2 linked regions of the Cricetulus griseus genome follow. The protein of the gene in region 1 interacts with the protein of each later gene in a pairwise test. Links are inferred from orthologs where the notes say so. Each region holds a gene or a part of one and is shown on either strand. Other genes may lie near its edges.

Region 1 (4,606 bases):
GGAATTGAACTCAGGACCTCTGGAAGAGCAGCCAGTGCTCTTAACCTCTGAGCTATCCCTCCAGCCTCTTATTTTTCCTTTTGAGACAGTTTCACTTTGTGGCCTGTACTGCATCCTTAATCTTTGGGCAGTATTTCCCATCTACCCCGTCATGCTCAGCTTTAGTGTATTTGCCCCACGAGGTGGGAGTGATCATTCCGTTTTACAGCAGAGAACCCAGCATCATCGAACAAAGGAAGAGTGTGAAGGGGCCACAGGCTTCCAATGCTAGGGACAAATGCTGGTTTCCTTTGCTGTCTCAGAGGAGTGAAGGCCAGCCCCGTGGCGCACATCTGCCATTCAAGCAACAGGGAGATGGGTTTAGTAGTCACAGGAGTTAACATCAATTCTGCCTCAAAGAACAAACCAAAGCCAGGCATAGTAGCACACACTTTTAATCCCAGCACTTGGGAGGCAGAAGCAGGCGGAAGTGTTTTGAGGTCAGCCTGGTCTGCCAAGCAAGTTCCAGGATACCAGGGCTACACAGAGAAACACCTTATCCCCCCCAAAAAAAAAAAAAAAATCAATGGCCAGCTGTGGTGGCACGTGCTTATTTTGGTTGTTTTTTGTTTTTCTAGAGATGGTTTCTCTGTGTATCTGACTGTTCAGGAACTCAACTGTAGAACAAGCTGACCCTGAACTCAGATCCTCCTGCCTCTGCCTCCCAAATACTGATATTAAAAGCAAGCGTTACTGTTGGGCGGTGGAGTCCCACGCCTTTAATAACAGCACTCAGGAGACCGGCAGATCTCTCAAGTTCGAGGCCAGCTAGGGTGTTGTGGTGGACTAACATCCAAGCCAAATAATTCGACTGTGCTGAAGATAAGTCCAGTTGGGCTTGTTGACAGCAGGTTTCGCCCATAGAAGGAGGGGGCAAGGAAGGTCATGGGACTTCACCCGCGTTCCCTGCTGTTCCTCACAAGCAGCTATGTAGCTGGGGCCTAGGCAGGGGCTAGAAAATATAGGCAAGGAAGAGGTAGGGGAAAAGACTATCTGTGCAGCGTGGGATAGGTGTGGCCTTTGCAGGTAGCACCACACACAAGTAAGTAAACCCTGTAGGCCCAGTAAATTCACTGGTTCCCCAGAATCATCTCTGATGGAATCATATTTCGGTCTACCCTTCAGACGTAGAAGGGTAGACATTGTGACACTGTTTAGGTCTTCATCCGGAAAGCACTTTTGTTTTTGGAGGTGGGGACAGGATCCCATTGTAGTACTGACTGACCTGGAGCTTGTTATGGAGACCAGGCTGGCCTCAAACTCGGAGATCCGCCTTCCTCTGCCTCCTGAGTGCGGGGATTAGACAGGTACGCCACTACACCCGGGAAGTAACTTTAACAACACGGCTACATCCTGAGACCCTATCTCACCAAAACAGAACAAAACCAAGTAACTGCAGCCTAGGGACCCAAACGCCCCCTAGCAACACGCAAGCGGGTCAGGAGCGGCGCGCGCGCTATGGGAGGAGCCAAACCTTCCGAGTCTTTCCCACAACAGTGGTGAGTCTCGGAATGAATTCCGAAGTAATCCCGACCTTAAACTATCCTCTCTAGCTACTTATGGAACTGCTGTGGTAGCCTGGGAAACGTTGAACCCGCCCATGGGCAAGGGGCGGATTTCCGGAGCGGCTCTAGTGGGAAGGCAGGACTTCCGGTAGCGGACCGTAGCTGGCTGCCCAGCGAGTTCGCCTTCGCCACATCCCGGGATGTCACAGCTGGGATCTCGGGGCCGTCTGTGGCTGCAGAGCCCCACCGAGGGACCGCCCCCTATCTTCCTGCCGTCGGACGGCCAAGCCCTGGTTCTCGGTCGGGGACCCCTGACCCAGGTGACGGACCGGAAGTGCTCCCGAAATCAAGGTGGGCGCGGGAGTGAAACTACGGCATCAAGAGCTGCAGGGAAACCTGTGCCTAACCTGGAGTTAGACAGGGCTTTCGGGGAGGGACAGAGCGGATCCGGGAGATTGTCACCGGGTGGAGGAGGATGCTCGCAGCAAAGAGACGCCTCTGGGCAGGATCTATCAGGCCATGCCCAAGACCTAGGTCTACTCAGTGTGTCTTATGGAGCAAGCCGACCCTACAGATTTAAAAAATCGTAGGTCCCGGTCCTATCGAGAGATAAACTGTTTCGGGCCGGGGGTGACACACACCTGTCATCCAGGCACTTGGCTGGTAGAAGTTTAAGGTCAGCCACCAGTGTGTGGCGACTTCTAGGCTACCCTGGGCTACTTGAGGCCCTGTGTTGGGGAAGGGAGGAAAGTGCCTTTTCCTTCGGAAGTGCAAGACGAAGTCTATAGCTGGCCACGCCCCATATGTGATGTAAACCCTGACTCCATCCCCTTACCCTCAGTGGAGCTGATTGCAGACCCTGAGACCCGGACAGTGGCAGTGAAACAGGTACCAGTGTCTCAGCAACGAGTAGCAAGGACTTGGGGTAAGGGGTCGGGGTGGGCCGCAACCCTTCAGAAGGTTAGTAGGTATTCCCTTTTCCACCGTGCCAAACTGGACTCCTTGTGACCTTTCAAAGTTCTGATTGGTAGCATGCAATGAATAGGTGGGAGATTAAGGTCTGACTGGGAGATGGGGTATTGGAATTGGTGGGGAAGCAAGTGTTCCCTGAGGAGTTGGAGCCGACCTTGGTTCCTCCTTTCTTCGCAGCTGGGTGTTAACCCATCAACTGTTGGGGTCCAGGAATTGAAGCCAGGGTTGTCAGGCTCTCTAAGCTTGGGGGATAGCCTGTATCTGGTCAATGGCCTATACCCCCTGACCCTGCGTTGGGAAGAGATTAGCACAACGGGATCCCAGCCAGATACTCCACCAGGCACTCCTCCTTCGGATCCAGTGGACAGGGAGGATGCTGAGCCTCAGAAAAAGCGGAGACGGAAATCATCCCCTGGCTGGGAGAGCTTAAAGAAGTTACTGGTGTTCACAGCATCTGGGGTAGAGTCCCGGGGCAAGGTGAGGCCACAGTCCTGCCGCTTAATACAGAGTTTGCTGTGCAGCCCTGGGCTAGTCTTATCAAAGTCTCTGAGTCTCAGCTGTTTGTTGTGAACAGAGACTGAGGTGCAGGATACAGATCAGGCCCTGTAATCAGTGATGATCAGACCTTTCTTGGATGTGTTTATGGGTTACTCTGAAATGATTAGGCCACAGAAAGTTTGGGGTCTAGTCCCTGGTTGGGCACTCAGTCAACAGAGAGTTTTGAATTTAAATTTTTATTCATTTATTTATGTGAGCCTGCTTGATTTTATGTGTACCACATGTATACAGATGCCTGCAGAGGCCAGAGAGCATTGGGTTCCCTAGAGCTGAAGTTACAGGCAGTTGTGAGCCACCTGATGTGTGTGCTCTGAGCCACTGAGTCTTCTTTTCAGCTCTTCCAACAAAGACGGTTGCTCTTTCTGAGCTGATAATCTTCCAAGAGATGCTCAGGGAAAAGGGGAGGGTGGGACACAGGTCTCCATTAAAGACTGGAAAGTGGGGAGCAGAGGACACAGGAGCAGTGAGGTACTGCTCTCCTGCCTCACTCATGCACACCCTGCAATAGGAGTGTCAAAGGGCCGGTGTCAACTGTGGGGAGAGTCCCTGTTGACACAGGGGAGTACCAAACACAGTACTGCTGTCCCTGTGTTTGGTGATACCAGGTGGCTGCCTTTGACCTAGATGGGACTCTCATCACCACTCGTTCTGGAAAGGTCTTCCCCACTAGCCCTAGTGACTGGAGGTGAGGTGGTGCCTGGCAAGAGGGTGGGAGCTCAGGTCCTCTAGGTTATAAGTCATTGCTGCTTCCCACCGACCTTAGGATTCTGTACCCAGGGATTCCAAAGAAGCTCCAAGAGCTGGATGCTGAGGGGTACAAGGTATGTGTGTGTGTGTATTCTCTAGACTCCAAGAACTACAAGGTGCGGGGCCTATGTGCATGTGTGTGCATGAACACATGCATGTTTGTGTAGAGTTCAGGCTGAGCTGTGGTGTGGTGAGCGCCAGTGTGTCCTTGTCTATCCCCAGCTGGTAATCTTCACCAACCAAATGGGCATTGGGCGAGGGAAGCTGCCGGCAGAGGTGTTCAAGGCCAAGGTGGAGGCTGTGTTGGAGAAGCTGGGGGTCCCATTTCAGGTACAGCCAGGGACACTGAGGGGCTGTGTGGGACAGGGACCCAAAGAGAACATGCCAAGGTGTGGAATGGAGGCCTTGGCTGGGGTTGTGCTGACAGAAATGACCTTGGAAGTCCTAAGCACAAGGACAGTGTAACTTGGCCACCTCAATAGGTGCTGGTGGCAACTCATGCAGGTCTAAACCGAAAGCCAGTGAGTGGCATGTGGGACCATCTGCAGGAGCAGGTGAGCATCCTCCTCCCTTCTATGTGGTCATTCCCAGCCTGGCTCCTGGTGACCTGCTGCCCTCGTTCCTTTGCCCTTCCTGGTCCTTGCCAGCTGTCGAGACCGGCACTCCCAATCTCTGAAGAGCAGAGTAGCTGAGAAGTCGCATGTCAGGGGTCTTGCACAGCACACATTGGGAAAAACTACACAATAGAGGCCTAGTGGTGCAGGGTACCAGGTTCAGCATGTCCA
Region 2 (3,809 bases), on another chromosome or scaffold:
TTTTGGAGGCTGTCCTGGAACTAGCTCTTGTAGACCAGGCTGGTGTCGAACTCACAGAGATCCGCCTGCATCTGCCTCCCGAGGGCTGGGATTAAAGGCGTGCACCACCAACGCCCAGCTAACGTGTATGTTTTAATAGACTTTTAAAAGAACAGTTTTAGACTTGGGAAAATCATGAAAATAGTATAAAGTACTCCTAATATATCACAACATTTCCCACTATTAATTCTTAACACTAGTATGGGGGATTTGTTGCAATTAGTGATGACATATGACCACTGACACTGATACATTATTACTAACTAAAGCCCTTACTTTGTTTTACCCAATGTCCTTTTGGATCCCACAATACATTTATTGTCTTAAGGACTATTGGTCAGCCACTTTGTAGAATGCTCCACTAATACAATTTATCTATTTCTTTTTTTCATGATTGGATTGGAATTATGAGATCCTGAATGGTAGACCCTACTGCCATCACTTCCACAACACACACTAACTACTGAGCTAACTAACCCTCCTGACTTAGCTAATGTGGCATTTTGGTTTCTGTACTGTGAATCTGTTCTTGTCCCTTCCATACCCTACTCTCTGAAAGTCACTGTGAAGTCCAAACGAAGAATTAGAAAGTTGGGTTCCATCTCCTTAAGGAAGGAATATTGATAGGAATTCATGCCAGGTGGTGATGGCACACGCCTTTAATCCCAGCACTTGGGAGGTAGAGGCAGGAGGATATCTGTGAGTTTGAGGCCAACCTGGTTTACAAAAGCAAGTTCCAGGACAGCCAGGGCTACAGAGAAACCCTGTGTTTTTTTTTTTGTTTGTTTGTTTTGTTTTTTTTTGGGGGGGGGATATGCTGAGGGAGTTTGCTACCTTTTCAGATAATTCCTAAGGAAAACAATGTAAAGGCAGCTTTGTTTTTTTGTAGTACTACAGAGGAGTTAGTTCTTACACATAGTAGGCACACACTACCACAGAGGCATCTTTAGGTCCTGTAAAAGCATTCTGGAAAAAAGGGGCCTTACCTTTGTTGTCAAAATATTTTAAATCTGGCTGTCTCATAGAGCAGACACTGTAACAATGGTCAGAAAAGATCCCACTGATCCCATCTGTGATTCTGCTTATTCCAGAAGAATCTGAATATGAAACAAAATGAAGACAATTCCCAGCATAATACAGATGCACAAGCTTGTTGTCATTTTTTATCTATCCCCCCACCAAGTTAACGATTGAACCCAGTGCCTTGCACATACCAGGCAAACCCTCTACACTGACATTTATTTTAATGAATTTCAGTAGGAAAAAATGTAGCATGTCTTCAGTTTCACACTTTAGATCAGACACTGGCATTGGCTTTAAAAGAGCCACAGATTAAACTGTAATAACTCTTAAGGAGCCAGTGGCTGCTGCACACCTATGGTGTCAGCACTGCAGAGGCTAAGGTGGATCAGCAAGACTTTAATTCTAAAATTAATTTAAATAAGATTAAAACCTTAGAAACAGGGGCTGGAGAGATGGCCCAGACACTCTGTTGCAGAGGAGCTAGTTTCAGTTTACACATGTTGGCTCACAACTGTAACTCAATTCCAGGGATCTGATATCTTCTGGCCTCCACGGGCACTAGGCTTGTGGTTCACATACATGTAGGCAAAACACTCATACACATAAAAATAAATATACCTTTAAAAACATACAAGGAAACATTTGCCTTATAGTGCAACTCTCACAAAATATACATATGTAATAAATGCTCTATTAATGATTAAAACAGTGAAGTAACTACCATTAACTTCTAAGAAGGCAAGCCACATAGTGCCAAGAAAGCATAATACATAAGAAAAATAGTCTCAGGAGCAGAGAGGGCTTCTGAATACCAGCCATTCCAAACACTGCCTGGGAAGCACCAATATACAATAGACCAAGCTGACTTTCCTCAGAGGGCACATGTGCTGGGAGCAAGTCAATGGGTATGCCTGAAACAGTCTCAACTATATATGACAGAGATGCACACAAAGATCTTTTTCTTTCTTTTCTTTTTCGTTTTTCGAGACAGGGTTTCTCTGTATTTCTTTGGAGGTTGTCCGGGAACTTGCTCTGTAACCAGGCTGGCCTCAAACTCACAGAGATCCGCCTGCCTCTGCTTTCCTTTTTCTTTTTAAAGACAGGATTTCTCTGTATAACCTTGGCTGTTCTGGAACTCTGCTCTGTAGAACATGCTGGCCTTGAACTCAGAGATCTGCCTGGAAGTGCTAAGATTAAAGGTGTGTACTACTGAAAGGTTCAGGCATTATGCTGGCCTGCCCTGATTACCTGGCAGAATTCACTCAGTCAGTACTCTGGTCAGCCTAGGGTTCCATGGGCACTAAGTCGGCACGCAGGTGTAAAGGACTCCTTTAAACTCCTCCCTCCCCCCCCCAGCCCATTTATGTGCTCTTACTCTTACGCTCTCTTACCTTCCTTTTCCTCTTACTCTCATGCTCTTTTTTCCTCTTACCTTCTCTCTGTCCCTCTCTCTATGCTCTCCCTCTCCCGCCCTGTAATAAACTGGTTAATGTATTCTCTATGGTTCATGTTCCATCGTGCCGGTTCCATCTCTCCCCTTTCTAATTTTTAAACCTAAACAAAAGAGCAACATTGATGCCAAAAGACTTGGCAGGTTTTCCTGACATTTCCTCCTGCCTGTGGTAGTCTGAGATATGCTGGGACCCTGTAAACTTCAACTCAACCACTTCTCCAACTAAGGATCTCTGGATTCTATCATCCACCACTGCCATGTCTGGTAAGCCCGCTCCTTACTCCCTAGAGTTAGGACTCTACTCGAATCAAGACTGTGGTCTCTTGAGTTTTCTGGACTGGTCGAAAATCCCAATATTGGGTGACCACGTAATGTGGCTCCGGGAGCCCTGGCCCCCGGTTTGTGCTTGATGAACTACAAAATCAGTGGGTGCCCTTTGCATCTGATCCTCCCTTAGTCTCTGGGATGCTGGAGATTATAGGCTTTGGATATTCTCTGCCTCTCTCATGGAAGCTGGGCCCCCATATCAAACCATGTGCCCGCTTATCAGCACCCTACATTCTGCTAGTGATCTATGGTTGGCAATGCGGCCTCGGGCGGATGCCTGCCACTGTGGGGGTCCCACTGCTTCCCATCATGGCTAAACCTGCCTCAGGGCAGAAACTTCCTTCCACCTGGGAATGTCCTGTTTCTTTGTGAGGATGCCAACTGCTCCCAGTGAGCTGGCCTGGGTCAGTGTCTGCTCGTGATGCTCTGAGAGTTGTTTTTTTTTTTTTTTAAATTTATTTATTTAGTGTGTATACAGTATTCTGTCTGCATGTGTCTCATCATGCCAGAAGAGGGCGCCAGATCCCATAATAGATGGTTGTGAGCCACCATGTGGTTGCTTGGAATTGAACTCAGGACCTTTGAAAGAACAGCCAGTGAGTACTCTTAACCTCTGAGCCATCTCTACAGCCCGCTCTGAGAGTTTTTTAGTTTTCATATTTTGCCCCCCACAAATGAGGTTTTCGGGTTTTGGGCGTTCGTTTCTCAGACCTATGAGGAATCTCTCGGGTTTTGTACCCTAGCAATGCTCATAGACTGGTGCATCTGTTCCTCAGAACTATGGTGGTCACACATCTTTCTGACTTGTGTAGAAAAAAGCCAGTTCTGCCAGCAGTTGGGATGGTGCTTATGGCAGCTGCAATCTTGGCCATGTGGCCTAGCTGTAGGCATGCCCACTCCTACTGACTGACAATTCAATTCATTTACTTTTTGCCTTTTATTTTTGTCTCTGGGGTCTGAAGAGATG

What was found.
Region 2: the proteins of Pnkp (region 1) and Znf639 interact in binary tests that used the Homo sapiens proteins (3 or more experiments, as listed by UniProt). The two-hybrid records come from large-scale screens. The link is inferred for Cricetulus griseus from reciprocal best matches to the Homo sapiens genes PNKP and ZNF639.

The regions. Positions count from the first base shown.
Region 1 is NC_048599.1:153,693,931-153,698,536, forward strand, and holds the start of Pnkp (bifunctional polynucleotide phosphatase/kinase), read left to right. Parts: upstream 1-1,528; 5' UTR 1,529-1,744; coding exon 1,745-1,895; intron 1,896-2,385; coding exon 2,386-2,432; intron 2,433-2,693; coding exon 2,694-2,993; intron 2,994-3,679; coding exon 3,680-3,759; intron 3,760-3,837; coding exon 3,838-3,895; intron 3,896-4,043; coding exon 4,044-4,151; intron 4,152-4,303; coding exon 4,304-4,375; intron 4,376-4,606. UniProt on the Homo sapiens protein: Plays a key role in the repair of DNA damage, functioning as part of both the non-homologous end-joining (NHEJ) and base excision repair (BER) pathways.
Region 2 is NW_023276806.1:116,836,154-116,839,962, forward strand, and holds part of Znf639 (zinc finger protein 639), read right to left. Parts: intron 1,137-3,809; coding exon 1,026-1,136; intron 1-1,025. UniProt on the Homo sapiens protein: Binds DNA and may function as a transcriptional repressor.